Linked DNA regions of Arabidopsis thaliana. The protein of the gene in region 2 interacts with the protein of the main gene of each other region in a pairwise test. Each region holds a gene or a part of one and is shown on either strand. Other genes may lie near its edges.

The links.
Region 1: the proteins of UBC17 (region 2) and AT1G10585 interact in a two-hybrid assay, tested with the Arabidopsis thaliana proteins (one large-scale study listed by BioGRID).
Region 3: the proteins of UBC17 (region 2) and FER1 interact in a two-hybrid assay, tested with the Arabidopsis thaliana proteins (one large-scale study listed by BioGRID).
Region 4: the proteins of UBC17 (region 2) and AT1G76210 interact in a two-hybrid assay, tested with the Arabidopsis thaliana proteins (one large-scale study listed by BioGRID).

What each region holds. Positions count from the first base shown.
Region 1 is NC_003070.9:3,493,218-3,497,280, forward strand, and holds AT1G10585 (basic helix-loop-helix (bHLH) DNA-binding superfamily protein), read right to left. Parts: upstream 2,028-4,063; 5' UTR 1,888-2,027; coding exon 1,750-1,887; intron 1,468-1,749; exon of another isoform or gene 1,439-1,467; coding exon of another isoform or gene 1,397-1,438; coding exon 1,079-1,396; intron 988-1,078; coding exon 898-987; 3' UTR 553-897; downstream 1-552. Other genes in the region: AT1G10580 (Transducin/WD40 repeat-like superfamily protein), read right to left, coding at 1-448; AT1G10586 (basic helix-loop-helix (bHLH) DNA-binding superfamily protein), read right to left, coding at 3,914-3,982.
Region 2 is NC_003075.7:17,200,191-17,203,733, forward strand, and holds UBC17 (ubiquitin-conjugating enzyme 17), read left to right. Parts: upstream 1-1,731; 5' UTR 1,732-1,778; coding exon 1,779-1,808; intron 1,809-1,911; coding exon 1,912-2,015; intron 2,016-2,091; coding exon 2,092-2,194; intron 2,195-2,282; coding exon 2,283-2,346; intron 2,347-2,428; coding exon 2,429-2,517; intron 2,518-2,604; coding exon 2,605-2,700; 3' UTR 2,701-2,798; downstream 2,799-3,543. Other genes in the region: D2HGDH (FAD-linked oxidases family protein), read left to right, coding at 1-105, 190-282; AT4G36420 (Ribosomal protein L12 family protein), read right to left, coding at 3,528-3,543. UniProt on the Arabidopsis thaliana protein: Accepts the ubiquitin from the E1 complex and catalyzes its covalent attachment to other proteins.
Region 3 is NC_003076.8:227,314-232,268, forward strand, and holds FER1 (ferretin 1), read right to left. Parts: upstream 2,739-4,955; 5' UTR 2,282-2,738; coding exon 1,974-2,281; exon of another isoform or gene 1,950-1,973; intron 1,885-1,949; coding exon 1,801-1,884; intron 1,689-1,800; coding exon 1,628-1,688; intron 1,528-1,627; coding exon 1,440-1,527; intron 1,339-1,439; coding exon 1,277-1,338; intron 1,182-1,276; coding exon 1,116-1,181; intron 1,023-1,115; coding exon 959-1,022; intron 871-958; coding exon 836-870; 3' UTR 640-835; downstream 1-639. Other genes in the region: AT5G01610 (hypothetical protein (Protein of unknown function, DUF538)), read left to right, coding at 3,762-3,848, 4,172-4,226, 4,311-4,681.
Region 4 is NC_003070.9:28,594,298-28,598,213, forward strand, and holds AT1G76210 (DUF241 domain protein, putative (DUF241)), read right to left. Parts: upstream 1,700-3,916; 5' UTR 1,586-1,699; coding exon 905-1,585; 3' UTR 653-904; downstream 1-652. Other genes in the region: AT1G76220 (hypothetical protein (DUF241)), read right to left, coding at 3,233-3,916.

The DNA.
Region 1 (4,063 bases), on a different chromosome or scaffold from region 2:
GAGGAATATTAAAAACCGAAAGACCATCGTTCTTCTTAAACGCCTCAACATCGCCGACGTAGTTCATCCCAGACGGATCCGCCGCGTAACCGCACTTATGAAACGTATGGTACTGCTCTTCAAACCCAAACGATCCAATCGAAGCATCTTCCACAGAACCTAGCTTATGATTCCGCATCCCTTGAGCGATCCCGTCTTTCGCATACGGATGCGCGGGGCCGAACATCGGAGCCCACAGCTGATCATGGGTAGGGTTATAAAAGACGACGTGTTGAGTCGGGTCAATCGGCTTCGATTTCGATTGATTCACGTTAGCCACCGTGAGAGCTAGTGCCGTATCGTCTACCTCCGGCGCCGATGATTTCGCCTTTAACATACGAGGCGGTGAAGATTCCGGCGAGGAAGCAACGGCTTCGTCTTCTTCTTCGTAGGATTGAATCAGATCCATCTCTCACGATTTTGCTCTCTTACCACAAGTGTTTGAGAAACTTTATACTGAGATTTTGCCTCTTTTCTCTTCGACAAGGGTTTCAAAATTCCTAAATCTAAAATAAGGGTTGCAATTTGTGCGATATTTAGATTTTCAAATATAGCCTCTTACTATTTTTTTCTTTTCACATTTACCCCAATAGTGTATTTTATTGACATTTACATCCCACTGTCTTACTCGGTGGTTAAAATTATGCAAATCTGGACCAATCTAAAATCACGCCAAGCCAAACTGAATTAAACCGGGATGAATAAAAACGAAACGACAACGTTTTAAGGTTTCTTATGTTGACGGTCAACATATTTATCATAATCGAACTCAAAAGCAATTACTCATCTCATATTTAAAGAACTAACACATGTGTGAAAAAACACACTAGCGTTAGCGTAGACTTATCATTTGGGATTTCATGCTTCAAAATATATATATCCATAGATGATTTTCCGTACTCTCTCTTCTATCCTTGATGGATCAATGCCAATCCGACTAATGATAGCCTGCAAATATATGTAATAAAAATTTATACGAAAGACATGACACATGCATATACGTGTGTATTATACAAACATATGCGTGTGGATGTGGTACCTGGGCTATGATTGTGTAAGTGGTCCTATCATTCAAGTTCTGAAGATTAGCACTCATTACTTGAGCTCCTTCTTCTTCAAAAATACTCACAAGCTCGTGTAACATTACTCTTTTCATGTTTAGATCCATGATCAGATTCATTTCTATGGTCGAATCCCGCGAACGAATACTGAGTTTGGGTAGAAGAAACGACCCTTCGTAGAGATTCCCGAGTTCTCCTTGTAACAATGTCCTTTTCTTCTCTTTCAAATAATTTACATTCTCTTTCAATTGGATCATGTATGATGTCGCTTGATCTATAAGGTGAGGCACTGGTAACTGTTTAGATCCCAAAAAAAACCCCAAGATAATTACTTTCATTAATCTTTTACATGAATGTGGTTATATTCAATATATATAAATAAACCGTAAAAACCCTAGCTACGTGAATCATTTATTTGTCAATTAGACACCGTACTTAAAAGAGAGCTAATATGGACGGTCATAGAGGGACAACTGCCTATTCAATTAATCAAAATATTATCTCTTTAGAATAAAACGTACATCTTACAGTAATTATGTAGATAATGTTTGTATTGTTGTATATACGCATAAAACACATCTACAATTTAATATAAGATATATATAGAGAGAGAAAGAGAGAGAGGGAGAGTTAGAGAGAAAAAACGGACCTTGCGAGTGGGAGAAACATGAGAAGAAAGTATAGAGAAGAGATGTTTCATGCGCATCCTTCGATCCTTCTCTCTGAGGTTTCGTTGTTCCCTTAACGACGATGAGTTTCCTTCTCCTATTTCTCTTGCTCTCCCCATTCTTTTTGTTTTCTTTTAAGCTTTTATGTACAAGTTTCTCTTTTCAAATCCATCTCTCTTTATATACAGTTAAAGAGATAGAGAGGGCCGGGAGATACAGAGTCACAAATCTCAACTTTGAGAGAAAGAGCTACGTGATTTAGATGAAAGGGATGTTTTGGAAGAAAGTCATGGCTTTTGTGATTGCGTCCGTGAGCTTACACACTAAATTAATAAGATGCATGCATCTTTCCTACCAAGTAAATTTTACTATTTACTTCGGAATTTCCACGTTCTTAAAGATACAAAAGTTTCAAAACAATTAGATATGTTGTTTATCATTAAAAAAAAAATTAGATTTGTTGGTGGGTTGACACATTACTAGGACGCATCATAATTTCGATGTAAGATTTCTAACGTTCAAAGACATAGTTTAGATAGCATCATGCTTACCGTGTGAGATGAGATTCCTAACGTTCAGAGATATGATTCTTCTTCTTTCAGATTACTAACCATGAGTTTAAGTCCTGTGATTTACAGTAGGTTTGGAGAAAATTATTATCAAAAATCATTTCAATGGCGTAAAATAGTCAACAGCCACGGTAGACAAAAATGAATTCCTTACAACAGTACTATATATGTTTCTATCAACAAATAGAAAAGGAAAATTGTTTTGTATACTGATAGAATCGGGACCACTAAATCAAATAGTATCATCATGTTCAATTAATTTGGTGCACGTATTCATTATCCGAGGAAAGTATCATAAGGCGCCATAACCTAAGATTATTCAACAAGCTATCATTATCATAGAAGAAAAGGACACAACACATTCGGCATTCCTTACATAAATTATTAAAGGCCCTCAACTCTCTTTGGCCGTATGGCCGACATCGTTCACCGGATAGGGGATCTACATGGACCGATCGTCTAAACGTTCACCGGAGGTGAATACAAAGACAGAAAATTAAACATGCCTAGTTTTGTTGAGTCTTGGAGTACTCCAGGTAGATGTTGGTCATAACTTTGCCACTGAGCAAACTGACATAAAAAGTAAAAGGAGCCGCAATATGATACTAACACTGTGTATATATCGTCTCGCTGCTTGACCACTTGCTTAGAAACTGAGTAAGGGACAATTATATCCTTATTGCATTTTCCACATGTTATTCTTTTTTTCCTTCTTCAAATATTTGAATTCGTACAAGAAGAGAATAGTCATTTGGTAACTATCATAATTCATAGCCATTGAAAATCCGTGACTAGAAATACAGATTAGCCCAATTTTAAAATGTTAAGCCTATAATTACTTGTAACTAATTCTGTGGCTAGAAAAGGATGATTACTTATAGTTAGAAAATTTGTAGCGAAATTTTTGTTATCGATCTATATATACTGTCCAATTTATATAAGACATTTAGAAAAAAAGATTTGTTTACTAGTTATGTCGTGTATATATACATGTTTTTTAAGTTTTAGTTAACTATATTCACATACAAAATCTAACCATGTGTGATTTTAGGAGAAAACAAAGATGAATGTCCTTGCTATCGCAATATGAAAAACTCCAAAAGTGGATCCAAATGCCTATGCCCTTGAACATGTTTTGAAGATAGTCATCAGATGCATAACATCTATCTATTCTATGTATGCAAATATCAATTACGACTATTTTAGACGGCGCCTGTAATAAAATATTTGAGCTTAAAATGCTCAATGAAAGAAAATTTGAGAGTTCTTGACAATAAAAGTAGATAATATATTTTATATTTAAACATGAGATTCTATAAACGTAATAGAGATTAGGCATAGAAAGAAAAGAGAAAATAAAGAGATTTTGAAGATGATGTGAGAGGCTTTTTCGTTCATATACTTGAGGAAATGGTATTCAGACATTTGATCATTCTCTTTAACTTAAACAACAATAGGGCTATTACACCAATTCACTCTTAAAAATACTCATAATCTCATGTTTAAAGAACTAACACATTTAATTTGTTAAGAAAAGACTTGTGATTTGGGATTCAATAATGCTTCAAAAAATTAATCATGAGATTATATCCCTTAATCTCTCTTCTATCCTTGATGGATCAATCCCGATCCGACATATGATAGCCTGCAAATATTCATTTAGGTGATTATTAATTTATCATATATATATAGTCCTTCAAAAAAAGTTCAAACTATATTTTAATGA
Region 2 (3,543 bases):
TATGTCTATGAGTGGACATCAAAGCACCGTGGAAGCATCAGTGCGGAACATGGATTAGGTGTAATGAAAGCTAATGAAATCTTCTACAGCAAATCACCCGAAACTGTAAGTTAACAACAAACAACGTATGGAAACTATGTATAGAACTATCGTGTCACTCTATTCTTACCGGAATATAATATTATGCAGGTTGCATTAATGGCTTCCATTAAAAAGTTGCTGGACCCAAAGGGAATTCTCAACCCTTACAAAGTTCTTCCTCACTCTCTCTTCTCCAACTAAGGTAAAAGATTATTATGCTTTATGATTACGCACCGAAATTATTGAAAGCATCTATCTTTCTATCTATGAATGCTCTTCCAACGTCAAAAGTGAAGAATCATCATCTTTTACTTTGGAATCATTGACATTCTTTTTTCGGCGAATGCAAGGGTGGTGATGAGATGATTCTTCAAACAGGAATTTGGAACATGAGCAGCCAAGTTTGAGCGATATGATTGATGCAAAGGAACAAAAATACAAGTGCTGATTAAAAAGTCTTTAAACTCAAAAGTGTATATGCTTCGCTTCTTCTTCTTTGTTGTTGTTGTTGTTGTTACCTTGTTTTAATATCTTTTTAGTAAAGGATAAGAAAGAATCTAAACCTATTGATCTTACGTGTATTTAAAGTTAAAATTTGCAGTGTATGTAGACCAAAACTCGAAAAGATAATCTATAATAATAGTATTTTCAAGAATCTTCACATAATATCTTTCTATTCTTGGAATTTCTGTTGTAATGGATTTTCTTATTTTGTTCACAAAAAGACTTTATTTTTATTTTTCCCCATAGTTCTGTTTTTACTTCATGTATTACCTTTCTTTAATGTCTTACTAGGAGAAACCAGATCGGTCAGATAAACCGGAATAATATCTGGTCCGATTGATTTGTATAAGTCTAACTAACTTCTCTAATTTAAGAGATAAGCTATAGATTTTAACATATTTGTTCTAAGTTCTACCAAGTATATATTCTTCTGAGACCTAAGTTGGACCTAACTAGATAGGAATATAAGATCCGTATTACCATAGTTCATAGACCATAGTTTCCATGGAACAAATGTGTACAAGTTTTGGTTTAAGGTGAAGCCAATGCATACAACAACATCATGCATCATAATTGTAATTATGACTAGTCAGTTTTGATATATAATCAAGTTGCTTACAACTTTTGTAACCATCGATCCATTCAAAATAATCAGAAGGACAAGGGCAATAAGACAATGAAAGCAATATATCATCGCTAAAAATCCAAGGCATCGTTGAATGATGGATCCATAAACCGGAAATAAATTAAAATAATGTTACAAGCCAACTTTTACCTGATGCATGTATCAATTCTTATTTTTGGTTAATATCAATAATATGCATGCATCAGTTTGGTTATCCTAAAATTTACATAACTCAGATATTCATAATGGTATGAGATTTTTAATTTAAGAAATTTGGTTTTCCGAAATAGATATTGGAATGTTTTATGATAATATTCCTAACTGGTTTGATCATGATCGCGAGAGTAGCAAAAGCGTGTAAGATTCGCTTCTCCAACACAAGTGGAAAGTCCCGGATTAAAGAGAGCCGACACAATAAAAACGACGTCGGATTGATGACTGGACATAGACCCAAACGCTTTAGACACATTGCAAAGATGATAAGACACTATAAAAAGCTCACTGGATATGGCTAAGGAGACAAAACACACACAATCTCTCTCTCTCACACTCACTGTAATAAACACAAATGACGAGTTCTTCTGAATCAACTCGCAAGGTTGGTTAATTGTTTCTTTAACTAAATATAACAGTACCTTTTTGGTTATAATTCCATTGTTGTCTTTGGTTTGATCATCTCTCTCTTGTTCTTACTATGTTAGGGTCTGACCAAAATCGCCACGAACCGGTTGCAGAAAGAGTTCATGGAGTGGCAAACCAATCCTCCTTCTGGTTTCAAGCACAGAGTCTCTGATAATCTCCAACGGTACATAATCATTTTATTGTCTTTCCTTCGAATATTGATAATCGGTGATGTAATGTTGAATTGTTGGTGTAAACAGATGGATCATTGAAGTGCATGGAGTTCCAGGAACTCTTTACGCCAATGAAACTTACCAACTTCAAGTTGAGTTCCCTGAGCATTATCCTATGGAAGCTCCACAGGTTCGTCCTCTAACTCCTTTTGTTAATACTTAACGATACTTAATCATCGCATCAATCTCATAACCCGATGGTTCCACATATAAAACAGGTTATCTTTCAGCATCCAGCTCCACTTCATCCTCATATTTACAGCAACGGTCACATTTGTTTAGGTAAGTACATACAAACACAATGACTCACTCTGTTTCAAAGTCCAATGACAAGACCCTTCTATGTGTTCTTTTGATTATGCAGATGTCTTGTATGATTCGTGGTCACCGGCGATGAGACTAAGTTCCATCTGTCTCAGCATTCTCTCAATGCTCTCCAGCTCATCCGTGAAGGTTTGTGTGTTTTATCTTCTTCTCATATTTCAAAGGCTTTCACAGAATAATCTTCTTCTTATGATGTTTATTGTTCTCTCCTTACAGCAAAAGCCGAAAGACAATGACCATTACTTGAAAAACTGCAAACATGGAAGATCTCCCAAAGAAACTAGGTGGCGTTTCCATGACGATAAAGTATAACATCTCCTATAATATTGTGATTACAAACGAATTGTAAGATCTCAGGTCGAGTTCTTGATCTGTTGCTATCTTTAAAACAAGAACAGCTTCTTTCTACAGTTTAACCATACGAAAAGCTTGAGCATAAAACTTGAAAATTTGGAAATAACATGATTCATTATTATATGAAAGAAATCATCAACTGTTAGTACAAACCAAGAACTGAGAGAATGATTGATCCAAAGAAGAGAGAACTTTGCTTCTAACAAGCCTTCGTGTATATTTGATAGAAGACAAAAATCTGTTTCTATCTCTAAAGAAAAGAGCTGCTGATGACTTTCCATCACATCTTACATTTGTAATAAACACTAGGAAGGACTACTCAGCAGAAGCTTCATTTGTTCTTGCTCATGCTCCATTTTAATAACACCTGCAATGTCAAAACCTAAAGCTTAAGCATATGAAGCAAACACGAATCATACAGATGCTAGAATACCTACTAAAAGTGTTTATAGACCAAGCAATTTCACATGTTTCCCAATAGACTACAAAAGCTATTCTAATTGCTCTTGCTCTGTACATTTCGACAAGAAACTTCAAAGGCCCTTCATGAAACTCAACGTCAAGCTCAGAACTTTACTCCCCTTACAAAAACAAAGCAAGCAACTTTATGCAATTCCAGAATCAAATTAATGTTCATTTCCAATTCTCAAACCTAATAAGCACTAACAATTCAACACCAAGCTCACACAATCTCAAAGCTTGTTTATTCCCATAATCAAACAAACTAAAGCTAGCTAATCCATCTGCTTAGGAGCAATCGAAAGTATAGAGGTACCTAAAAATGGTCACTCCATAGCAACT
Region 3 (4,955 bases), on a different chromosome or scaffold from region 2:
CGTATTTCTCTAGATTAGATGCATGGTGCTATAACATTCGGGATTATTTGACATTTCCTTGCTTTTGATCAGAGCATTACTACTGTGATAAGTGTTCTTGTTAGGGTCATACAAGTATCCAATCTTGATTGTTCCCGTGCGAGGGACTTCTTCGTCATTATACAAATAAGATTCTCAATCTTTACTTAATGCTTAGTGGTTTGAAGAACCATGATGAAAAGATAAATCACTAAGGGAGAATCTGTACATGAAAAGCTTAATGGTGTTTTCATACGTCATGAACTTCTTATGGATACTCATTTTCGTACATTTGTCAGCTCTTTGTAGAACAGACAGGTCTTTGTTTGGTTAGAAATGATTTTCTACTGTTCAACATGGAATCAAAGTAAGAGCATCTCTTTTGCTTTGATGTGACAGTGATCTTGTTCTTGTTTGCTGTTCAGTTATATCCCAGTGACCAGCTTGTCCTTCTCGGTGGAAAGTGACATACGCTTCATGCTTCTTTTACATGTTCTTCATAAACAGGTTCGTTATGCTTACTCTTTCAAGTTGGATCATAAATATTCTATGTTTAATTAGATAGGTCTGAGTTTTCACTATTTTCTTAGTTACGCATTGTTTGGCCGTAGGTTTATAGCTAGTTAGAATATACTAAAACAAAAACTTCATTGATTAAGCTTACGAAGTTATTACAAAAACCATCTTGAACACAAAGCTTACTACTACAATCTTATTAGTCCATAATGTTCAATCTAAAGCTTTTACAGAATCTTCGGGTTCTTCTGTTTTAACCCCAACATTGGTCATCTGAAAGTGAACTTATAGAGGTCCAAGTCTAGTTCAGAAGCATCTGGTCGAAATGCCAAACTCCTGCAAAGACAGAACAAATGTAAATAAGCTTTTAGAAATACCATTCAAGTCTGAGAACACTATCTCAATATAGGGTTTTGATTCGTACCGTGGCCTTTGCCGATCATCCTTAGCTGGGTGATGTAGTCTGAGATCTTCTTGATTGCTTCAATCTAGAAATAGTCCATAATATATTCTGAGTCAGAACATGTACAGATTATACAAGTCACTAGTTGTAATCCGAACAAAGGCAAAAGAACTTTTACCTGCTCTCCCAGAAATTCACTCTCAACGAAATCAGCTAACTGGGGATCATTGTTCTCTGAGGCCACCTGTTTTGTTGGCCAAAAGTACGTGTTAGTTAGTATTAGGAAAATGACTATAAGTTTAATCTTTGATGATCAAATGGATAAGTTAGGGAACTTACTTTGTGAACGTTTAGAAGCTTCTCATTAGTGAGTTTCTCTAGAGACAGAGCCAACTCCATTGCTGAAAACAAAGATTAGTAAACTAATAAATATCTGTATCTTTAAAAAAAAAGAAAAGTTGTTATTTTAGGATTAAGATAGTGTATTTGCTTAAAGTTTTACCATATAAAGCATCTCCTTTTTCAGCATGTTCGAATTCTGAGATAGGTGAGACGATAGGGTGGAGTTTCACTCTTCCTCCTCTTTGGTTCTGTATAGAGACAACAAACCAACAATATGAATATTAACTAAGTGAATCACAAGTCTTTATCAACTTTTCTAAAACAGAAAAGAAGGTAAAAATAGAAAACCTGGTACTCCATAAACTTCTCAGCATGCCCTCTCTCTTCCTCACTTGATTCCTTGAAAAATCTGGTGATTATAAAAACTCATGTTTAGTATGGACATATATATCTCATTTTGAAGTATACGATCAAGATTATTATAAATAAGATTAAGATTAGAGTTAGAAGGTAATAATTACTTGGCTAGTCCCTTCATAGCAACGTTGTCTCTGTCAAAGTATGCGTACATTGAATGGTACACATAGGAGACGTTGTATTCCACACTGTAAATAGAAAGCAACCTCCTCCGTTAGATCTAATCTTTAAACATTTTCGTTTCTTTAATTAGACAGAAAAGAAAAGAGAAGCTTACTTGATTTGCTCATTAATGACTGCCTCGCTAGCGTCGGCAAACCTCTGGCGAGCGAGAGAGGCATGAGATGTGATTGGAATGGCCAGATCGGCTTTCTTCACCTCTTCGAAAGGCTGGAACACGACTCCGGTCATCGGCATGTTGTTTGTGTCCACCGTAGCCGCTGCAACGACCACTGCTCTGCCGCCGCCAACTTTCCTGGAGAAGCCGAGAGAAACCGACGGAGAAGCAGAGCCGTGAGGGAGTAGTGGCTTAGGAGACAGAGCGGGATTAGCGGCGGTGAAAGACGAGAGTGCGTTTGAGGCCATCGTTGGAAAATGTAGAAGAGGATAGTGTTGAGCCGCCTGAGATTTGTTGTAAGAGATGGTGATGATGATAAGAAAGAGGAAGGAGGAAGGGTTTATATAAGAGGGAAAAGGCGTGTGGTCACCGTTGGATTGAGATCCACGTGGAGGGTGGATATGAAAGCCAGATGTAGGGGCGTGTGGCGGCCTCGTGCTACATCCAATGGGATAGTGTGAACGTGAGGATATTCGATCCACGTTAACATCTCTCCAAATAAAGTTTGTCTGTTTCTCTGCTTTCTCTTTTATCCTCAGAATCTTTTTACCATTTCCGGTTCCTACTCTCGCGTTGCCACTTTCTTATTTCCTACTCGCTCTCTCCTATTTTTCGAAATGTATTTTTTAGAGTTGTAGATGATAACAAATACAATTGTTTACTATAAAAAAAAAAAAAGAAAAGATGATAGCGTTTCCAACATAAGTTAGACGTGTAAAATCCTGTGACACATATTGACATAGGAAATCGGATAGAGATAAAAGTATTTCCATATTGTTTTTATAAAAAATCATCAAGCTACTAGAACATAAGATTGAGAATGGTCCAAACCCTTTAAGACTTTCCGTATTATGTGGCCTAATATTCATAATTTACAACAAAGAAGGAAAAATTCGTGGCTCTCTAGGATATTTGATGGAGACGGAAAACTGATATACAATTATACATAGGATAGAGTCGCGAGTAGCTCAACTCCACGTAATTTCCAGCTAAAGCGCGTGAGAGGTTCCAAATGGTTCCTTGTCTTTATCGGAGACAATTACACGTCGGAGTAAGTACATTGTGGGCCTCATTAGTAATGTCACGGCCCAAGTTAAAAAATCATATCAAATGGTTTTTCTAAAAAGTTGTAATGTTGGCAAGGACAAAAATTAAGCATTAAATAAAGTGTAGTTAGGCTTGGTTTTATTTTATTGGCTTGATTTGAATCGATTCGTATTACTCTGGAATGCACAAAGACAAGGGTAGGCTATAAAAGTGTTAAAGAGCTTAATAATATTTTCGACTGTAATTACAAATTTAGCTGAGGTTCGTCTAATAGACAAGTAAAATCATGGGAGGAATGGCAAAAAAAAAGGATTGATTGTAGTCTTTAATTTTACTCTGTTTTGTGCCATGTGGTTCTTCAGTTCCCAAGTTGTGTTGCACCTATTTAATCTGATTTTCATTGAAGGCCCAATAGATAGATAGTCAGTCCCAAGGAGGAGTGATAGGCAAGTACTTTTTTTTGTAATTTGTACAGTATAATGCTGCCTGCTTGCTTCAATAAATATATTGGTGTTTATGTATTTGCCACATGTCATAAGTTAATTGGCTGCAGGAATAGTGCACAAATAACGAATCCAACGGTGCGAGAGTGGTGGGTTCCCAAAATTCTTTCCCGGAAGAAAAAGAAAGAAAGTCGTCCTTCGTTTTCTCAAAATCTTCTCTATCCTTTCTCGAGAGAATATGGATCAGATCTTCAACAAGGTTGGATCCTACTGGTTAGGCCAAAAGGCTAACAAGCAGTTTGACTCCGTCGGCAACGATCTCAACGTACGTCTTTTTTTGACCCATCCTATAGAATCTGATTCATCTGTTTTCCTAATCGATTTTGATCTATTGACGTGGTTCCGATATAATCAACCACCTTTATCGTAATTTTGGTATCATGCAGTTGTACGAATGTTTTGAGTTCATTGTTAGGTAAATCACGTCACATAAGGAAGAACATCTAATTACCAAAACCATGATATCTTAAGAAATGATTCAAATATATGATCCTATAATGTCTTCTCTTCTTGCTCATGTGGTTAGATTATTTTGTTTGAAACTGTGATCTTTTCTAACATATAAAACAATGTTTTTGTTTATGCCAGTCGGTGTCAACGAGCATTGAAGGAGGAACAAAATGGTTGGTCAACAAAATCAAAGGTTTGCTTTTTTTTATTCTTCTTCTGACTGCATCTTTCAATTTTTTGTTTTTTTGAAATTCCCCATTTGTCATCATGTTGACAGGGAAAATGCAGAAGCCGTTGCCTGAGTTACTAAAAGAATATGATTTGCCGATTGGAATCTTCCCGGGAGATGCTACAAACTACGAGTTCGATGAAGAGACAAAGAAACTAACCGTTTTGATCCCATCGATATGCGAAGTTGGATACAAGGATTCATCAGTGTTGAAGTTCACAACAACAGTAACAGGACATCTTGAGAAAGGAAAGCTAACAGATGTGGAAGGAATCAAGACAAAAGTAATGATATGGGTAAAAGTGACAAGCATATCTACAGATGCATCAAAGGTCTATTTCACTGCAGGAATGAAGAAGAGCAGAAGCAGAGATGCTTATGAGGTTCAAAGAAATGGTCTCCGAGTCGATAAATTCTAACACCTGTCTGTGTTCTGTCTGGTTCCAAAGTTTCAAGCTTTTCCATTTACGTTTTGGTTTTGATTTAAAGCCTCCTACTGTGAGTATACATCAACTTATTTATAAATCTGATCATAACTTCAATATGGCCGGAGCAATTCTACTTTGTTCTTTTTTTTTTCCAATTGTAAAGAACTACTATTCGTGTGCTCAATGATTTGGTCTTACAATTTTTTACTTGGGTTAATTTATGTTCTCTCATATATTCAAAATGAATTTGACACTCACACCAAAA
Region 4 (3,916 bases), on a different chromosome or scaffold from region 2:
TGAAACTCTCGGGAGTGAATGAAAATTGAGTGCCTTTATTGTGAATGTTTGTTATTAGTTTAGTGGTACATGTTTTGAGTTTTCTCTTTGTTTAGACATTGATGATTTGTAGTTATCCTCGAGTTCACCTTTCATGTAACCATATAAGCATTGCTCAAACTACTTGACACTAATCTGGTTTTGGGTTTTGCTGCTAGGTCTCACTGAACCTTTGAAGATCATGACGAAAAAAGGATCGTCTCTTGTTTTTTTCTTAATTTTCAGCTTCATATGTCGAAATAAAGAGAACTGTGAAGAAGACGTGAATTGTTTTTGTACACAACTTTGTAAGACTTGCTGCTTCTGTTTTAAGTTACTACTTGTGTGTTGCACTTCCTGATCATGTTGTTATTTTGCTGTCAACAAATTAATTTGAAATAAAACGCATTGCGAGATTCGTGTTTTTAGATCCAGCCTCCAATGATACGAATTACAAAGAAACACTAGAAATTAGTTATATTCGCTGTGTTAAGTATACAAATTAACACTTACGAAACTGAATTTGTTAATGGTTTTTATAACTATATCTGAAAACCAAAAAAAATATGCAAAATCATCAAATTGAAAATGTCTATTCTAGCAACATGAATTGTGAATAAATAAACAAACATCTATAATTCAAATTTTACTTGAATAACAATTTCATTTTGACTCTATTTTTGGTGAAGACAAAAAGTGTGCCTTCAACTTCAAGTCTTTAATCCAAGTAGCCAGTTTAGGAAACGGGTAAAAAAATAAATTATATAGAATAAAAGAATTTGATGTTGCAAACTTGAAAATAAGTTTACAAATCAATCTATTTAATGTTAACTAAACATGTCCGCTTGAAGCAAAACCTAACCGATCCGGACATATCATATATTATCTAGTTGGTGAGAATATTAAGAAGTGAAACTCTCGTCTGAATCAATCGCCGGAAAATAGATTCCAACTCTATTTCAAGCTCCACTACAGTAATCTCCGCCGCCTCCAACCTCGTAGTCGCGCTTTGCACCGCAGTCTCGTCCCATTCATCATCTAACAAATAGGAAGACCGAATGGAAAAGATCGAAGACAAAGACCCTTTGCTCGATCTCTTCTCTAGCCAAGGAATACAACCAAGTGAGAACAAAGACTCAACCATCGTCACAACGACTCTTCTCACTTCCTTCAAAACTTCTGTGACAAACAGAAGGTTCTGTTCTATTGGCATGGCCACTCTTCCTTCGTTTCCTTTCATGTTCTTCAAACAGTTTAAGCATTTCAGTGTCTCCTTCTTGAGCTTGTTCTTATACCGATTATACGCAGCTATCTTCTCGTTGACATCAGATGATTCGTTGCCACGTAGAGTCAGTTGTAGATCTTGCAAGCTGTGTTTCACGAGCGTCATCACATCTTTGGATACGTTACAGATGTCTAACATCCTCAATGAAGCTTCTGAAACTTGTTCCGTCCATTTCTCTTGTCCTTGTTGAGACAGAGATTCTCTTGTTTTCGGACAGTGATGGAGGAGATAGTTTACGCAGTCGTGTAGCTCTCTCAAACCCTCAAAGTTAATCTGAGCCATAGATAGATCTTAATCTATTCGAGATACTTAGCTTTATGAATGTAAAAAAAGAATTTGAAAAGGTATTTTTTGATGTAATTGTGAATGGTTTTTAGGGCTTCTTGAGAGTTTTAAGCGAAGATTAGAGATATATTGAATGTGTGTAAGAATGAGATTATATATAGAGGTTAAGAAGGATCTGAGGGAAAGTACGATGAAGGTTCCCAAGTTTGGGTTTTTGTACGGACGTGGGACATCCGGGGAACAGCTCATTTTGGAGGTATTATCAAAACAATGATTTAAATGATTCAAAACATGTCACAAGGAACCTTCTTTGTACGTAAGAGGCACTCGTGGATTAGGGTACATTGTGGATTCGTTTAGATTTTCAATTTATAATATATAGTTTTAAAGATTTTTATTCTAATATATAGTCTTAAGGTTTAATTATATACTATATACCATGCATGCACGAGCGACGGTGCCAGGCTGTGTTGGTAAATTGCAACAATTTGGAACAGACGGACGAATATTAAATGAGATGAGAAATGTTTAGATTTTGGATCAGACTTTAAATATTATGTTAAGGGTTTGTCAGATATGTTTTATGTATCAAGTTAAATGGATATATTAATTACCAACAAGAAAGTAATATAAGTCTTACAGTAACAGAAAACAAATAATGGTAACTACTTGATCAATATGAATATATGATCAATAATCATTTTAAAACCGGAACTTATCTTTGGCAATACATGCGATTGTGACATTGTGTTACGTGTTAACCTCTCAATATATGTTTCTGGACAAGCGAAATATTCACAGTTTCACACAAATACCAATATACCTTTTCTATAACGTGGACAGTAATAATACGCATACATTAATACATATATGTTTATATGTCTAATTTCTCTATCAATCAGGTAACCACCTCGACGGCTCGACGCATGAATACATCCTGGATTAGATTTTATGTTTAAGATCTTTATATCTCAGGTTATTTTCAACAAATTAATATCTTCCCACAAATTATATAATTAGATTCATATCCCTCCAACTCCAAATGCTGAAATGCTTTCATTTTTATTATGTTGTTAGTGCAGCAATCTTATTATTCGATTTCCCGTTTGGAAGGTATAGCTACTAATTATAACGAATAATCAACCATGCATTATATTTTCTCTGTTGTCATCATCATGTAGAGACATTATTGCGTGATTAAAAAAAGAGAAATAAGAAGACATTATTGCGTGATTATAAAAACACACAGAGAAAATAAGACATTATTGCGTAATTTCTTTAGCTATTTTTTTTGCAAACAACCCATCAAACATAAAATAAAGCCCATGAAACTCAATTAATAAGCCCATTATCTCAAATTCATCCTTACTCTGTTTTGCAACAACTTCTGATAAGAAAACTGATACACTCATCAGTCTCATGATTGTATAACTATAAACTTATGAAATATTCATAGAGTACTGAAGTGATCTGCTGATAATTGTTATCTCGAACTCGTATTCTTGACAAGTAATCGTTTGAATATGATTTAAGAACGCTGCACACAAAGTTTTACAAGTTCTAAAGATCAATATGATCTGAGAGACTTTGCCTAAACTAAAGCCAACAATACTTCACAATGAACAAAATTACATCTATACAATCTCAAAGAGTAAGCATGTTAAGAAAAGAAACTCTTGTCTTCAACAGTTTCTTATACACACACTCCAACTCTTTCTCTGTTTCTTCAATCTCATGTTCTGTTTCTCTCAACTTCTTCAGCTCATCCACATCAACTTCTTGATTCTTCTTATTAAAAATCCTCGACACAATTCCTCTCCTTGATCCTTTCTTTTGATCTCTCTGATCCTTCGTCACTACCTCAATCAACAAAGAAACCAAAACATCAAAGCTGGTCTTTTCAACTCTTTTCATTACATTAATGACATCTCCACAATCTCTCTTCCTCTTCCTCATCTTCTCCTCTGTTTTCTTCAATTGTTTGACGATGGTTCTGCTCAGTGCTCTTCTCTTAAACACGTACGCGTCTGTCTCACGCGCCACGAAAGCTTCTTGATCTTCTCCTGACTTGCTTCTGATCAATCTCCTCCTCAAGCTTGATTCGAGTTCCCTGACTTGTTCCTTTATCTCCATCAGAACGTCTCTGATCGTGCTGCAGATATCAAGAACCTCGATGAATCCGTCAGAAACATCTTCAAATCCTGTGAAAGACTTTTGAGTTTTAGTCGTTTGAAAACGGAGGAAAACTTCGACAACCTCGTACAGATTCTTTAAAACTCCAAGTTTCCGACGAGCGGACTCTGGTCTTTTCTTTAGTAACAGAAGATG